Linked DNA regions of Ovis aries. The protein of the gene in region 1 interacts with the protein of each later gene in a pairwise test. Links are inferred from orthologs where the notes say so. Each region holds a gene or a part of one and is shown on either strand. Other genes may lie near its edges. The genes, in order: GPKOW, TCEA2 and SH3GL1.

The links.
Region 2: the proteins of GPKOW (region 1) and TCEA2 interact in binary tests that used the Homo sapiens proteins (3 or more experiments, as listed by UniProt). The two-hybrid records come from large-scale screens. The link is inferred for Ovis aries from reciprocal best matches to the Homo sapiens genes GPKOW and TCEA2.
Region 3: the proteins of GPKOW (region 1) and SH3GL1 interact in binary tests that used the Homo sapiens proteins (3 or more experiments, as listed by UniProt). The two-hybrid records come from large-scale screens. The link is inferred for Ovis aries from reciprocal best matches to the Homo sapiens genes GPKOW and SH3GL1.

The regions. Positions count from the first base shown.
Region 1 is NC_056080.1:56,002,044-56,006,471, reverse strand, and holds part of GPKOW (G-patch domain and KOW motifs-containing protein), read right to left. Parts: 5' UTR 3,107-4,428; coding exon 2,946-3,106; intron 2,443-2,945; exon of another isoform or gene 2,353-2,442; intron 2,039-2,352; coding exon 1,884-2,038; intron 1,785-1,883; coding exon 1,660-1,784; intron 1-1,659. UniProt on the Homo sapiens protein: RNA-binding protein involved in pre-mRNA splicing. As a component of the minor spliceosome, involved in the splicing of U12-type introns in pre-mRNAs.
Region 2 is NC_056066.1:53,508,431-53,513,590, reverse strand, and holds the start of TCEA2 (transcription elongation factor A protein 2), read left to right. Parts: upstream 1-1,969; 5' UTR 1,970-2,105; coding exon 2,106-2,177; intron 2,178-2,703; exon of another isoform or gene 2,704-2,861; intron 2,862-4,846; exon of another isoform or gene 4,847-4,908; coding exon 4,909-4,971; intron 4,972-5,160. UniProt on the Homo sapiens protein: Necessary for efficient RNA polymerase II transcription elongation past template-encoded arresting sites.
Region 3 is NC_056058.1:17,515,700-17,520,729, forward strand, and holds the start of SH3GL1 (endophilin-A2), read left to right. Parts: upstream 1-1,645; 5' UTR 1,646-1,842; coding exon 1,843-1,887; intron 1,888-5,030. UniProt on the Homo sapiens protein: Implicated in endocytosis. May recruit other proteins to membranes with high curvature.

The DNA.
Region 1 (4,428 bases):
TTATAAAGCATCTATTCTGTGCCAGCTACTGTTCCAGGTGCTGAGGATAAAGCAGTGAACAAAACAGACAGAAACTCCTGCCCTTGTGTGGCTTACATTCTAGTTGTGGAGACAGAATAAATGAAATGCCTAAAACATGATATGTCAGGTAGGGATAAGTCAGATGAAGGAAAATAAAGCAGGTTAAGGGGATGCAGAGGGATGGAGAAGGGAGTGTCACCAAGTTGATATTTGAGTAGAGACCAAAGGAGATGATAGAGGGAACCCTGAAGATACAGGAAGAGTGCTCCAGAGAGGACAGTAAAAGCAAAGGCCCCAAGGCAGGACAAGATCTGTTGTGTGTGAAGAGCATCGTGAAAGCCAATGCGATTGAAACAGATGTGGAGGCAAAGAGGGGTGGTAAGAGATTAATCAGGAGAGCTGGCTAGAAGCCATGATAGGATCGCAGCTGCAACGGGACCAGTGAAAAAGTTACTGCAATAGTCCAAATGAGAAATGCTGGTGGCTCAGACCAGAGGAGTTGTGGAAAAGAGAGATGACGGGATTTTGCTGACAGTATATAGGGTATGAAATGAAGGGATTCAAGGATGACTCTAAGGTTTTTAGGCTGAGTGAGAGGAAGGATGGATGGATCTGTGATGGACTGAGATGTGGAAGGCTCTGAGAGGAGGGAAAATCAGGGAAAGGAGGCCAAAACTGGAACAGGATGGAGAGTGAAGTGAAGGTCTTTTTTAAGATGAAAGAAACCCAGAGGTTGTCTGAAGACTGAGGAGAATGGTTCAGTTGAAAGAATCTCTCCGCTTTGGGGCTGTAGGAGAACTAGAACCCAAATAAGCATTGCCAAAAAATTGTGAAGGAACAGGTGGAAAGTAGGGTCCATGAGTATGAAAGGCAGACTTGGTTACTTCTGTGGACACACCCCTCATCTCTCCTGTTATCAGAATCATCACTCCCTTAATTCTTTATATTCACTCTAGACACATCAAGGTGTCACTGATGGACACATACCATGCTGATTTCCTGTCACTATGCCATTGTCTGGGTGGTTGCTGCCATTAGGAGCACTCAACCTCCTCTTCCTTCTCTCACTAAACCCTATCTATCCTCCTGGCCTCACTCTTACCACTCTGGTCTGGGTCACCATCACCTCTAGCATGGACTGCTGCTCTCCTTGCCTCCACCTTTGCTTACTAGTCTGTTCTGCTCACAGCAGCCAGAGAGAGCCTGTCAAGTCATAAGTATTGTCCCTTCTCTGCTCAGAGCCCTCTCATTGCTCTCATCCCACTCAGAGTAAAAGCCCAAGTCCTCACGATGGCCCACTTGCGACCTCATCTGCTACCCTTCCCTCTCACTCATTCCACTCCAGCTACACTGGTCTCCCTGGTGTTCCTCAAATGCTCCAAGCAGAGTCTACCCTTAGGATCTTTACATTTCCTGTTCCCTTTGCTCCTCACCTCCTTCAGATAATCCCAGAGTCCAAACCTTTTCACACCTCAGTATTTGGATTCATTTGTCAATGCTTCCAAAAAGGACAGAAGGAAGGGAGAGGTGGCAGACCTGTAGTATACACACAGACTTTTCCTGCTGGTGCAGGGAGACAAGCCTGGCAGACAGGAAAATGAGAGACTGGGGAAGCGGGGAGGTGAGGGGCCAGCTCACTGTCTCAGCCTGGGGTTCGCTGTCTGTCCCTTCTCCGTTGGGGATGCATCCTTTCTGGATCATAGGGATAGTGAGTGTGGGGTCAACACCCACATTCTCTCTCTCCTCCAGAGACTTCTTGGATTCTGAAGAAGAATGGTAGGGAGCAATGAGGTCCCACCCTCTCCTTCCATCTTCCTCCCGTTCTTCCTTCACTAGGGCAAGGCAAAGGAGGGATTACCCACCCTCAATGAGCTCCTTCACAGCCTGGGACAGCATCCCATCCATCAAGACCTCAGTATGTATGGATGGCCCAGGGGCCTGGGCTGGTGGCTGCCTTCGATGGCCGTTCTGGATCAAAGGGATGACAAGTTCCTTGGGGGCTTCTGAGGGCTTCACACTGATGTGGACACAGAGGAGTGAAATTGGGAGAGTAGCACAAGCAGTGAGTCCTGAGCCACAACCCTTCACTCAGAAGAAACACAAGAGCCACACTCACCCCCAGCCCCATAGATCACGCCCTCTGTTCTCGTGTTATACCCTAGTGGTGCTTTCTTTGGATTCTCTCCCCCACCACAAACTTTTTTTTTTTTTTTGGCTGCACCCGGTGACTTGCGAGATAGTAGTTCCCTGACCAGGGGTCAAACCTGGGCCCCCTGCAATGAAAACACGGAGTCCTAACCACTGGACCACCAGAGAACCCTCTCTCCCCACCTCTTAAATGTCAGTGCCTTCGTGGAATCAGTCCTCAGTTCTGGACCTTCTGTTCATCCCAAGACCCACTTCTGTGGCTTCCACAAGGACCTAGAAATCACCATCTTCAGCCCAGACTCTCCCCCCAGTTCCAGGCTCCATACCAGCCTCCTGGATGGTTGATTCTCTTCTGGAATCACCTCCCTCAAACTGTCCATTCCGAATTAAGCTGATGATAGCCTCCCCCCAACCTGAATCTGGCGCTCAATTCCGGTCCCCATATCGAAGAAGCCTCACCGCTTCACCTGGGCCACTAGGAGCCCTGTCATTCTCATTCCTTTTCTTCTTTCAGAACACAAACACACGCTCCGCAGGGCCCCCCGACTCCTAAACACATCCTCTCTCAGGAATACATCCTCTCCTCTCAACCCCTCTGGCCAACAGATCCAATTTCCCCACCTCTCTTACTGACTCCCGACTTTTCTCCTTCACAGATTTTCTCCGGCTGTCCTTCAGACTTCCCAGGCCACTGTCACCAAGACATGAACTGATTCCACCCTCCCGCAGGCACCCACCGCACCGGTTTCCAAGGGATGAAAGTCCCAGCACTTCACCTCTGCAGCTCCCTGCCTTCCACGGTCTTCAAGAAATCCTTCTCCTCCGGAGCCGTGTCTCCCGCTAGCCATCTTCGGGCGGACGTGCGATTGAAGCTGAAGGAAATCGGGGCAGTGGAGGATCCCGTCGGCCGCAAAACACCATCTTCGGCGTCCGCCATCTTGCCCCTCTTCCCAGGCCGTCGTGCTGCTCTCTGGGAAGCTTAGTTTACGCTCACTTTGCCGGGGCCTTGAGCACGACCGGTAGAACTACCCTTCCCATGAAGCATTGCGGCACTGGCCGGCGAAGGCGGATAGAGACCGTAGGAAGTAACTGCCGTTCTTTTTACTTCACAGGAGCGCGTGACGCCAAGCATAGAGGGAAATGTAGTTCTTAGGGAAGCTGTATGCGTGCTAAGTCGCTTCAGTCGTGTCCGATTCTGCGACCCTATGGACCATAGCCCATAGGCCAGATTCCTCTGTCCGTGGGATTCTCCAGGCAAGAATACTGGCATGAGTTGCCATTCCCTCCTCCAAGGGATCTTCCTGGCCCAGGGATGGAACCCACGTCTCTTACATCTCCTGCGTTGGCAGGTGGGTTCTTGGGGAAGGTAGGCGTGATAGAAGATGGGTTCGTTCTTGCTAAGTATTCATTCCTATGTGTGGGCATTATTAATCGCCTGCTTTGCCCTACTGGTGTGGGAAAGTAGGGAAAGTAAATAATTAAGAAAAAAATCTGTGAGTGCCAATTGTGTACAATAATAAATAATAGACATGTAAGTGGTGCCTTCAAGATGATAGATGTAATAGTGGACAAACTCTAGATTCAAATACAGATGACCTTTGGATTACATGGGTTTGAACTGTGAGGGTCCATTTATACGTGGATCTTTCACTAAATAACCTACTACATTACTACATGATGTGAGGTCGGTTGGATGCAAGGTTGGTTGAATCTGAAGATGCAGAATCTGGAAGATTTTAGACTGCCCTGCATTGTTGCCCCTAATCACTACATCGTTCAAAGGCCAGTGGTATTAATAAAATAGTCTGGCTTCCTCTCTTGAGACTCCAAGTCTAGTGGGAAACAATGACACTCAAAACGGATAAAAAAAATGTTCCTAACAACTTTAAATGTTGTGAGAGCCACCTCCTAAGGCCTCAGAAGATTAATGAGACAGTCCTCTGAGTAGGACCTTAGAGTTTGTAAAGTAGAAGACCGATACTTAAATAGTCATAAGAAAGAAAACTACAAATCTAAAAATTCATCCCAAGGAAACCATCTAAGATGTTAAAAAGTATTTTATATCTTATTTATTGTAGCAAAGCTTGAAGACCACTAAAATGAACAACAAAAGGGGGTGGGCTAAATGAATTAGAGCACATGGTTTGGATGGAACCAATACAGAGCTTTTAAATGTGAAGCTATAATTAAATGAAATGAGGACATAGTCACAGTGTTTGGAAAGTAAATAATGATTTAGTGGGTTATAGGAAGCTCTTG
Region 2 (5,160 bases), on another chromosome or scaffold:
CCATCACCAGCTCCCGGAGTTTACTTAAACTCATGTCCATTGAGTCGCTGATGCCATCCAACTGTCTCATCCTCTGTCGTCCCCTTCTCCCACCCTCAATCTTTACCAGCATCAGGGTCTTTTCAGATGAGGCAGTTCTTCGTATCAGGTGGCCAAAGTATTGGAGTTTCAGCTTCAACATTAAGAATGCTCAATCTACTGCACAATTGCACTCATCTCACACTCTAGTAAAGTAATGCTCAAAATTCTCCAAGCCAGGCTTCACCAGTACGTGAACCATGAACTTCCAGATGTTCAAGCTGGATTTAGAAAAGGTAGAGGAACCAGAGATCAAATTGCCAACATCCGCTGGATCATCAAAAAAGCAAGAGTTCCTTAAAACATCTATTTCTGTTTTATTGATTATGCCAAAGCCTTTGACTGTGTGGATCACAACAAACTGTGGAAAATTCTGAAAGAGATGGGAATACCAGACCACCTGACCTGTCTCTTGAGAAATCTGTATGCAGGTCAGGAAGCAACAGTTAGAACTGGACATTGAACAATAGACTGGTTCCAAATAGGGAAAGGAGTACATCAAGGCTGTATATTGTCACCCTGCTTATTTAACTTATAGGCAGAGTGCATCATGAGAAATGCTAGGCTGGATGAAGCACAAGCTGGAATGAAGATTGCTGGGAGAAATATCAATAACCTCAGATATGCAGATGACACCACCCTTATGGCAGAAAGTGAAGAACTAAAGAGCCTCTTGATGAAAGTGAAAGAGGAGTGTGAAAAAATTGGCTTAAAACTCAACATTCAGAAAACTTAAGATCATGGCATCTGGTTCCATCACTTCATGGCAAATAGATGGGGAAAGTGTGGAAACAGTGGAAACAGTGAGAGACTTTAGTTTTTTGGGCTCCAAAATCATTGCAGATGGTGACTGTAGCCATGAAATTAAAAGATGCTTGCTCCTTGGAAGAAAAGTTAGGACCAACCTAGACAACATATTAAAAAGCAGAGACGTTACTTTGCCAACAAAGGTCCGTCTAGTCAAATCTATGGTTTTTCCAGTAGTGATGTATGGATGTGAGAGTTGGACTTTAAAGAAAGCTGAGCACTGAAGAATTGATGCTTTTGAACTGTGATGTTGGAGAAGACTCTTGAGAGTCCCTTGACTGCAAGGAGATCAAACTAGTCAATCCTAAAGGAAATCAGTCCTGAATATTCATTGGAAGGACTGATGCTAAAGCCGAAGCTCCAATACTTTGGCCACCTGATGCAAAGAACTGCCTCATCTGAAAAGACCCTGATGCTGGGAAAGACAGGGTGGGAGAAGGGAAAGACAGAATGGGAGAAGGAGACAACAGCGGATGAGATGGTTGGATGGCATCAGCGATTCAATGGACATGAGTTTGAGTAAACTCCGGGAGTTGGTGATGGATAGGGAGGCCTGCCGTGCTGCAGTCCATGGGGTCGCAAAGAGTCGGACAGGACTGAGCGACTGAAGTGACTGAGTGACTGAGGCCTCCAGGGTCCCCGAGACCACAATTCCAGCCAGAGCGCTCAGGGGCTCGGCGCAGGACTGGGATCGGGCAGCCGCCCTCTGGACTGAAGAAGGTGGCGAAGGAGGGCTCAAGAGGTGGGGAGAGGGGACCGACCCTAGCGTGCCTTAGCGGCCTCTTGCCGTCGGACCCGGGTCGCCCCCGCGCGGTGTCCGGAGGAAAGTGCAGCGTTCGGCGCTGCGGGCCCTACGCATGGCCGGGTTCCGCGCTGCCGCAGCGCCCTCCGCCGACTAACGGGCCCGCGCGCGTTCAGGCCTTGGGCGGCGGCCCGCGTCAGAACTACACTTCCAAGGATGCCTTGCGCGCCTACCTGGCTCCTGGGAGTTGTGGTCGGGAGCGGGGAGGGCTCGCGCAGGGTGGGCGGGAGCGAGAACTACATGTCCCAAGATGCAGCGCGGCGTCGCGGGGGCCGGGGGTTTGAACGGAGGGTCTCCCGCCCGTGGCGGGGCTGCGTCTACTGCGGAGGGTGCGGGAGGCTGCGGCGGCCGGGGCCGGGGTCCGGGCCGGGAGGCTGAGGCTGGCACGGCGGGCACTGGGGGCCCTGCCCCCAAGGCGATGATGGGCAAGGAGGAGGAGATAGCGCGGATCGCCCGGAGGCTGGACAAGATGGTGACCAAGAAGAGCGCGGTGAGGGGCGCGGGCCGTCAGGACCCCGGGACCCCCGCCCCGCCGAGCCCCCGCCGAGCCTGCCGAGCCCCCGTCAGGGTCGCGGTGACCATTCGAAGGGCAGGACGAGGCTCCGCCCTGGCAGAGACTCTCAGGACGCGGGGAGACCCCCGCCAGAGGCCGAGACCCCCATCCTGGGCCAGCCCTAACCCTTCACCTCGCACCCACGGCAGAGGCCGCGATCCGACCTGGACCTTGTCCCGGGAACCACCCGCTTTGGACTCAGACCCCAACTGTCAGGCTGAGACCCCGCGGGCCTGGGATTTGCCCGTTTCCACCCCTCACTCCAGACCCCCTCGGGAGGCCGGCCAGGCGGAGACCCTCCTCGGCCCCGCCCCTCCAGGCCTCGCTGAAGTCCGGGCCTGTACAGCCCTGACTGGCCGCCCGCCGCCTTGGCCTTCATCCTCCCCATCCTAGGCATCCTCGGAGTCCCCCAGAACTCCCTGCCAAGGCCCACCCCGACTCAGAGCCCTCTGTCCCACCTTAGGTCTCCCACATCCTTTCTCCGCCTTCAAGAGTTTGGAGTGTGAGATTGGACCCCTTGTTCCCTGGAGCTGTGGCGCCTCCCCTACCTCTGCCTGGTCTGGGGCTGCGGCGGCCCCGACGTCTCATTTCTCCAGCCAGCCGGCCAGAGGGCTTTCTTGGGTGGGAAGGCCTTTTTTTTCCTTGTCTATTCAGTCGCCCAAGAACCAGGTTGCCCTAATAAATTCTTTCCCTTCCATAGCCATGGCTCAGCCAGAAGCTCCTGGGGAGTGGGTAAATGCGTAGGCACCTTGGGAAAGAGCCCTACCTAGGAGGCCCTGAGCCTGCCCTGGGAATCCCAGGGCCGCGGACTCCAGCCAGCCATGCTCGCTGTGGGGCTGGTCCTCCATTGTCCCTAGGCCAGTGAACCTTTGGGAAAAACTGAGCTGGGGCTCAGAGGGCCTAGCAGATGGGCCTCCAGTTCCAGGCCCCTCTCAGTTTTGGGCCTAGGTGACCTGCGTACCCTCATAGGAAGCATCTATGCTGGATGGTACCTGCCTCTAGGGGTGGGGGTGGGGGGTCCTGCTGCTCCTAGAGAGGCTCAATAAACAAAACCTGCTCTCTCCCCAGACTCAGCTCCTGGGGTGGGTGAGTGGTGGTGGCAGTTGCGGGGGAGGTTCAGCTTGGGGCTTAAGATGCCTGCCCAACCACCTCAGGGCTGGTGGTTTGGGGCTGGCTTTTGGGCTGAGTATGGTTGAGTCGGTCTTTGGACAGGGTTCTCCACCCAGGCGGTGAAGGGGGCTGATTCCCATGCTATCATTCATCTATCAAGCAACAACACTGCCTCGTCCCCAAACCCTGCACAATGTCCACACCCCTGGGAGGCAGTGGGCAGCCCAGAGCAGGGGTGTGGGAATGTCTATGGCTATTTCCAGAGATGCCAAGAGAAAAAAGTTGCTTTCCCCAGAGGAGACAAAACAAACGCCCTCCAGGTCGGGGCAGAGATGGGTCATGGGACCCACGGAGGACTGGGTGGGGCCAGGCAGGGCTAGGGGAGGGGACACCTAGGTGGAGCACCATATGGATGGAAGCCCAGGGGAAAATGAGGAGGGGGGACAGGTATGGACTGGGAAGGGCGTGAGAAGGTTTGAGGCACCATGGACCGGTGAGTGAGAGCCAACAGAGAATTCTGGTGGGTCCCAGTGCCTTCAAGGCCCCTTGGGGAGTAGGGGGCCACGACTGGGAATCCTGTTTTATGCCTCCCTGGTCCGGAGGCATCAGAAAGCTGGTATCCTGCAGCCTGGGGCACCATTCTGGGGAAGATGATTGCTGAGTTGCACTGTGCCCTTGTCTCTGGTGACCATTTGTCCCCTGTGAGGAGCTTACCATGGGGCTGGACTCTGCAGCCCAAGGGGCAGGACTTGCCAGGGGTGATGAGGGTTAGGCTGCAGCCTGAGCAGAGGTGCCATCCAGATTGGGGAGGGGCAGGTTGTGCCCCTCCCACAGCTAGGCTGCCTTGGGTGGCTGCCTCCCCCATGTCCTCAGACACACACACGTGAAACCTCACTGGTGGGTTCCCCGAGGCTTCTGTGGAGGAAGGCAAAGCCCGGCGTGGGTGGGGTGGTGCAAGGCCTCCCCCTGACTACAGAGCTGTGGTTTCAGCAGAGCTCTAGGAGGAGATGGGGGCAGGTGTGTTGCTGGTGGTGGGAGCAGCAGGGCCAGCGGTCCTGAAGGGCCCCAGGGAGCTGTCTGCCGTGGCGTCATGTGGCTTGTGTGTGTGTGCCCCGGAGGAAGCAGATGTGGGCGAGAGTGCTGGTCAGAGAAGGGAGACAGGGCTCTGTTGGGCCAGGCGAGGTGACACAGCTGGAGGGAGTGAGTAGGGTGTGGGGGTTCATGTGAGGAGAGCAGAGGCCCCTGAGGTCTTGGCCTCAGCAAGGGGCGCTGAGGAGAGGCTGCCAGAGTTCCGTGGGCAGAGGACATGGGACCAGGCAGGAGTGGGCACTTCTCAGGGCTGTGTTTCTTCCTGGTATGGCACCCCTGCCAGGGAGGGCTGTGGCCCTTTCCCCTGTTGGCCCTGTGGTGGGGGGTTAGCGTTCCTGGGGCATCTGACCCAGGTGGGTCTCCAAATTGTCACTGCCTGTGTTTGTTCTCCCAACCCTTGTGTGTAGGATGAGGTGGGCTTGCCCACCAAGAGCTGAGAGTCATTTACGTGGGCCCTCCCTTCTTCCAGGAGGGAGCCATGGACCTGCTGCGGGAGCTGAAGGCCATGCCTGTCACACTGCATCTGCTGCAGGTAGGGCCCCATGAGCCCCCCAGCTCCCAGCACCTGGTGGGGCTTCCTGCCCCTGCCCTGCTTTTGGTTGGCATGAATCCCTGCCCCTGAGGAAACGGTCCCTGCCTTTCTCTGTTGCTCCATGAGATAGGAATGGGCATTCAAGAGAAACCGACGGTGTTTCTCACTGAGGCTCGTGCAGATGGAACG
Region 3 (5,030 bases), on another chromosome or scaffold:
GGACCTACTGGTGACTTATTCATTAGTAGGTACCCAATAAATATTTGAGTGAATACATAAATATCATTTGATTGAACTGTGTGATCATGTCAGTTAAAAACTTCACATGGAACAGAGACCTTCAGAGTCAGTCTTTGAGCCTTAGAACAGGTTTTGTTCAGCACCAATTTACTCTCTCAAGCAAAGCAAAGTGAGAAGCAAATAATTAACTTAGTCCAATTTCAGAATTCTATTTATCTTGTAGATTGGATAATTACATCAGTAGGGTTGGTTGAAAATAATGTGGAAAAATAGGACATCACTTTGGGCAAGTCACGTCTTACTCAAGGTCTCGGTTTCCTTGTCTGAACCTTTAGGATATTTTCCTTTCTTTCTCTGACATTTTGGCACCTGAAATGATTTAGGCTGGTGGATCACCATTCAGGACACCCATCAAAATCACATGGGAGGTTTTTCACACTATTCGTAATAGCCCCATCAGGATCTTAGGGAGAGGTTGGGGCATGTATATTTTAAAGCAATAGTCTGATCAAGTCCAGTACCTTCTGTAGAGGCACTTGTAAACTTTCAGCAATCCTCTGCTTCACAAAATCGCTCAACTCTGTCAGAGATTTCAATACGGAAGTTGCAAGCACTTTAGTTCTAGTCACTTTATTGTTCTTCTTACAACCTGTAGTCAGACTTGTTATCTATTGTGCAACTGGCCCCAACCCTGCTCTTCTTTTTGGATTCATTTACTCATTTTGATTCATTCTTAACTTTCGATTCATACAACAAAAAACAACTGATGAAAAAAATCAATAGCCGTAAGCATATATGAATCTGAGAAGCCTTCCTGGAGGAGGTGACATTACAAATAGAGTTCTTTTATGCAGAAGGGATGGGAGGAAAGATTGGGAGGAAATGAGCAAGAGAGGAATACTGTTAGCAAAGCCCATAGGCAAAAAGGATCATGGGTTATAGAAGTCAGAAAAGGTGATGGGGCCAAATTTTACAAGCTTTGTAGGCCATGTCAAGAAGGCCTTAGAAGTATTCTAAGGCCAATACTACTGGCTTTAGAATTGGCCAGGGAATCGTGTGATCTGAATTATGTTATAGAAGCATCTTGCTGGCAGCCTTGTAACGGATGAACTGGAGGGGAGAACCTGAAGCTGGGCACACCAGAGAGAAGACTGGTGGAATGGTCTGATCAGGGCAGAGAGACAGTGGGTAGCAGAAAGGAGGTACAAGTCATAACCTGATGTCTGATTTGGGCAACTGAATGAATGAACACGGGACTGGAAGGGAAGGTGGTGGAAGACCTCAGAGGAACTGTATATAGCTGAGATTAGCGAACAGGCATGTGAAGATTTGTAAACTCAGCCTCTGGAGTTCTACCTGCCCCTTGGCCTCCCCAGCCTCTAAAGAAAGGTCTAAGCACTTTTCCTGAGACGTCAGGGCCACCTCCGGGACTCCAGGGGTCGCTGCAGCCGCTACAGCCCCTCTAGGCTCGCTCCAGTCCACTCATAGGCCGAGGCGGCCTCTCGGTTAGCAGGCGGGATGTGCGTGCACTCCCCCCTCCGGCAGGGGGCGCGTGTGAGCAGACGGGGGGCTCAGGGCGCGCGTGCGCGCGCGGGGGCCGGCACCGGAAGTGTGTGGTTGCCATGTAATATCCTGGCCGCGCGAGCTCGCGAGGGTCTGAGGCGGCGCCGGGGCGGGCGGGGCTGGTTTAAGGGCGGCGGAGGCGGTGCCGTAGGGGCCCGCTGAGGCGCGCTAGGGGCTGGTGGCGCCCGGAAACCTGTCGCCTGCGCGGTCCCTCCGGTTCGCTGGGTCCGGGCGGCAGGCCCGACGGCGGGAGGCAGCATGTCGGTGGCGGGGCTGAAGAAGCAGTTCTACAAGGCGAGCCAGGTGAGCGGAGGCCGAGGCGGGGCGGGGTGGGGGTGGTGTGCGGCGAGCCCCGGGCTCAGACTGCTCGGATGGGGGCCAGGCGATGCCAGGCCTGGCCCTGACTCAGGAGGGAACCGGAGGTAGGGAGGGGGCGATCTTGGCACGCGTCCCTCGCAGGGTGGGTACAGCCTAGGAGGGACAGGGTCTGCGTGCGAGGGCGCCCAGGCTCTGTCCGCCATGTGGGCTCCAGTCTCCTCGAGGATGGTGGGCAGACGGTGGAGGGGAGCAGAGATGCACCCAGAGGTTGTTCCCGGACATGGATCCCTCGCCTCCTGTCCTTCCCTCTAAAAGGTCAGGGAGGGAGCGGAGAGAGAGAAGAGGAAGAAGCCGTCCGGAGGCTGTCGACACAGAGAGCCCAGGGGCAGGGAATTCTGTGTCGAGAGCAATTCTTTTTTTCAAAGATGACAAACAGCCTTCTTAGTGGGCCGGGTGCAGAACTGAAAGGATTGAGTGAAAAGTCAATTTCCCACTTCAGTTCCTCAGACATCCAGTCCCTCTCCCCAGAAACAAGACTGTCACCAGTTAACCAAAGAGAAGTGTACGCCTCTTCTTTAAAAAACCCACGTAGTGGTAGCATGGTCTACACAGAACCATGTACTTGCTGGTTTTCATTAACTGTGTCTTGGAGATCATACTAGAGTCAGAATTCTCCACCTCGGGTCTTTCTCTGTCCTGGCAGCCATCCTGGGCACTCTGGGGCATTGAGCAGCACACCTGGCCCCCTCCCAGTCGATTTAGGAGCTCCCCCAGTTGTGACAACCACTGATGTCTCCTATGCTGCCAGATGTCTTTAGGGGAACCCCCCTTCTCCCCCCTCCCCCTAGAGCCCCAGCACTAGAGCCTACTGCTCAATTCTGTTGTTTTGTTTTGTTCTTTTGAAGAGATAAGATGTCATGTATTTCATCTTCCTTCTTTGCTTTTCCTCTACCTCCTCCTGGATCTTTTTAATGGGTACGTGATATTCCGTTCCATGAAGTCTACCATGATTTTTTTTTAACTATTTGTCTATTGATGGATGTTTAGATAGTTTCAAGTAGTTTTCTGCCATGTACAGTACTGTTATGAATAGCCAGTGAGTATCTCTGCTCACAGGTAGGATTGGCTTTACAGGTTAAGTTCCCAGAAGTGGAATGTGGAATCCAAGAATGTTTAAGTGTTCTACTTGTGATGGACGGAATAGGTGTTTTGGAAATTCCAGGCCCCGTTGTTCACAAATCTGGTGAAAGCTGAGTGGATCCGCTCTTCAGAAAACTAGGCAAATGTAAAATTCAGTTTATAGGCTCAAATCCAAAAAGTTCCCAGATTTCTCCATCCCTTAAGAATCTTAGGTTTGGAGTTTGTGTGGATGGACTCCAGGAAGGAACGAGCAATGGTCATAGGAATCCTTTAGGCAGTGCTGGCAAACCAGACTTTAACCCAGGACTTGGAGAGGTCCAGTGGGAGGGAAGAGAAATGTGTCCCCAGTGATACACAGCCGGGACCTTTGGCCCCTTGAGGGGGAAAGTAATGATCCTAGACAGGGCTAAAGATATTTGGGGTCTGTCTCTTGACTCCAGGCTAAACACTGGAGGAAGAGAAACTTAATCTAGATGGATTCTAGGGTTGTTGCTCAGAGTACAGCCCTGTGCTCCAGCAGGATGGAATGAGTAACCTGGCCCAGCAAGCCTCTACCTCCCCCTCCGCCCCGCCTCGCTGCACACTTGACCAGAGCATTTTGCAGTGCTGCTCACTATCTTGCACCCTGATGTAGCCCCTCATGTAAGAACTATAGGTCTTGGAAGAACTCCTGGGCCACCTTGTTCCTTCCTGTGGTCGGGTCTCTGGAAACCCTCCCCGCTCCAGCCTCAGGCTGGTAGCCCATCCTGCCCCCAGAAGACCCATTGTGCTGGAGGGACTAGCTGGGGCTCTCAGGGTGTCCACCTGAGCCTTTCCTCTCAGGGAAGGAAGAATGCCCTGCATTCAGACCTGAATGTAGCACTTAGAGGGAGCGCTTAGAAACCTGGAAAGCCCAGTGCAGCGTAAGCTGGTGGTTCAGATCAGTTTATTATCGCGGCATTCTGGGGCCCAGTCCCGAAGAATCACCGCCATGGCCACGCCCTCCTCTGGGAGCCGTCGTCTTGGCCTCGTGACCAAGTCCCTGTTGAGTTGTGCTCTCAAGAATCACCCTGGCTGTGTTCCATTCCCTCTGCAATAGTTTCCATAGACCTCCACTGTGGGTCTGGACATGTCCACCTCTCTGCGTATTTCTTGTGTTGATTTTAGAAACACCGCCTTCATCCTCTTTCTGTGTCCTCAGGATAGGATCGTCTGGGCCAGGTAACATTTCTGTTAAGTCTTAGTATATATTGAGGGTTCACCAAGTGAACATGTTTTAAACCAGTCTCTGTTGATCTCAGTCTCAGTCTCACTTTATCTGGCCCAAGGGTCAGCATACTCCCCTTTCTACACCAAAGGATTGGGGGGCATTTGTCTTCCAGTAGGACAGTGGTTCTCAGCCAGGGCCAGTTCCACCCTCTGGAGGACATTGGCAATGTCTGGAGGCATGTTTGGCTGTCAAAACTTGGAGGGAGGTAATTGTATTACAGTGTACTGGGCCCCAGATGTCAGCAGTGCTGAGGTTGGGAAACCCTGTTTTACAGTTTGAGAAAAGTGAGGATAATTTTACCCAAACCAAACCAAACAGCAACAACAGAAATCCCTCCTGGGCATTCTTGTGGCAGCTGCCTGCTTTTTCTAATTCTTGAAACAAGAGATAACCTGATATATGCAGATGGACACATACGTAAAACTCAGCACCCAGACACCGCATCTCCCCTGGGGTCCTCAGAAGAACCCCAGAGTATCTACTGGCATCTGTCAAGCTTGTATTGGCACCTCTTCACTTAGAGGTGACTAACCTTTCCCTCTCCCCTTTCCTCTCCGTGCAGCACCCCAGGGACATTTGGCTTTGTCAGGCCTTGGGGAGCAGACACTAGTGGCACTGAGTAGGTAGTGGCCAGGAATGGTTGCTAAACACCCTGTAACACACAGAACAGCCTTCTATACCAGCAAGAGTTATCTTGTCCAAATGACAGAAGCACCAACATTGAGAAGCGCTGCTCTGA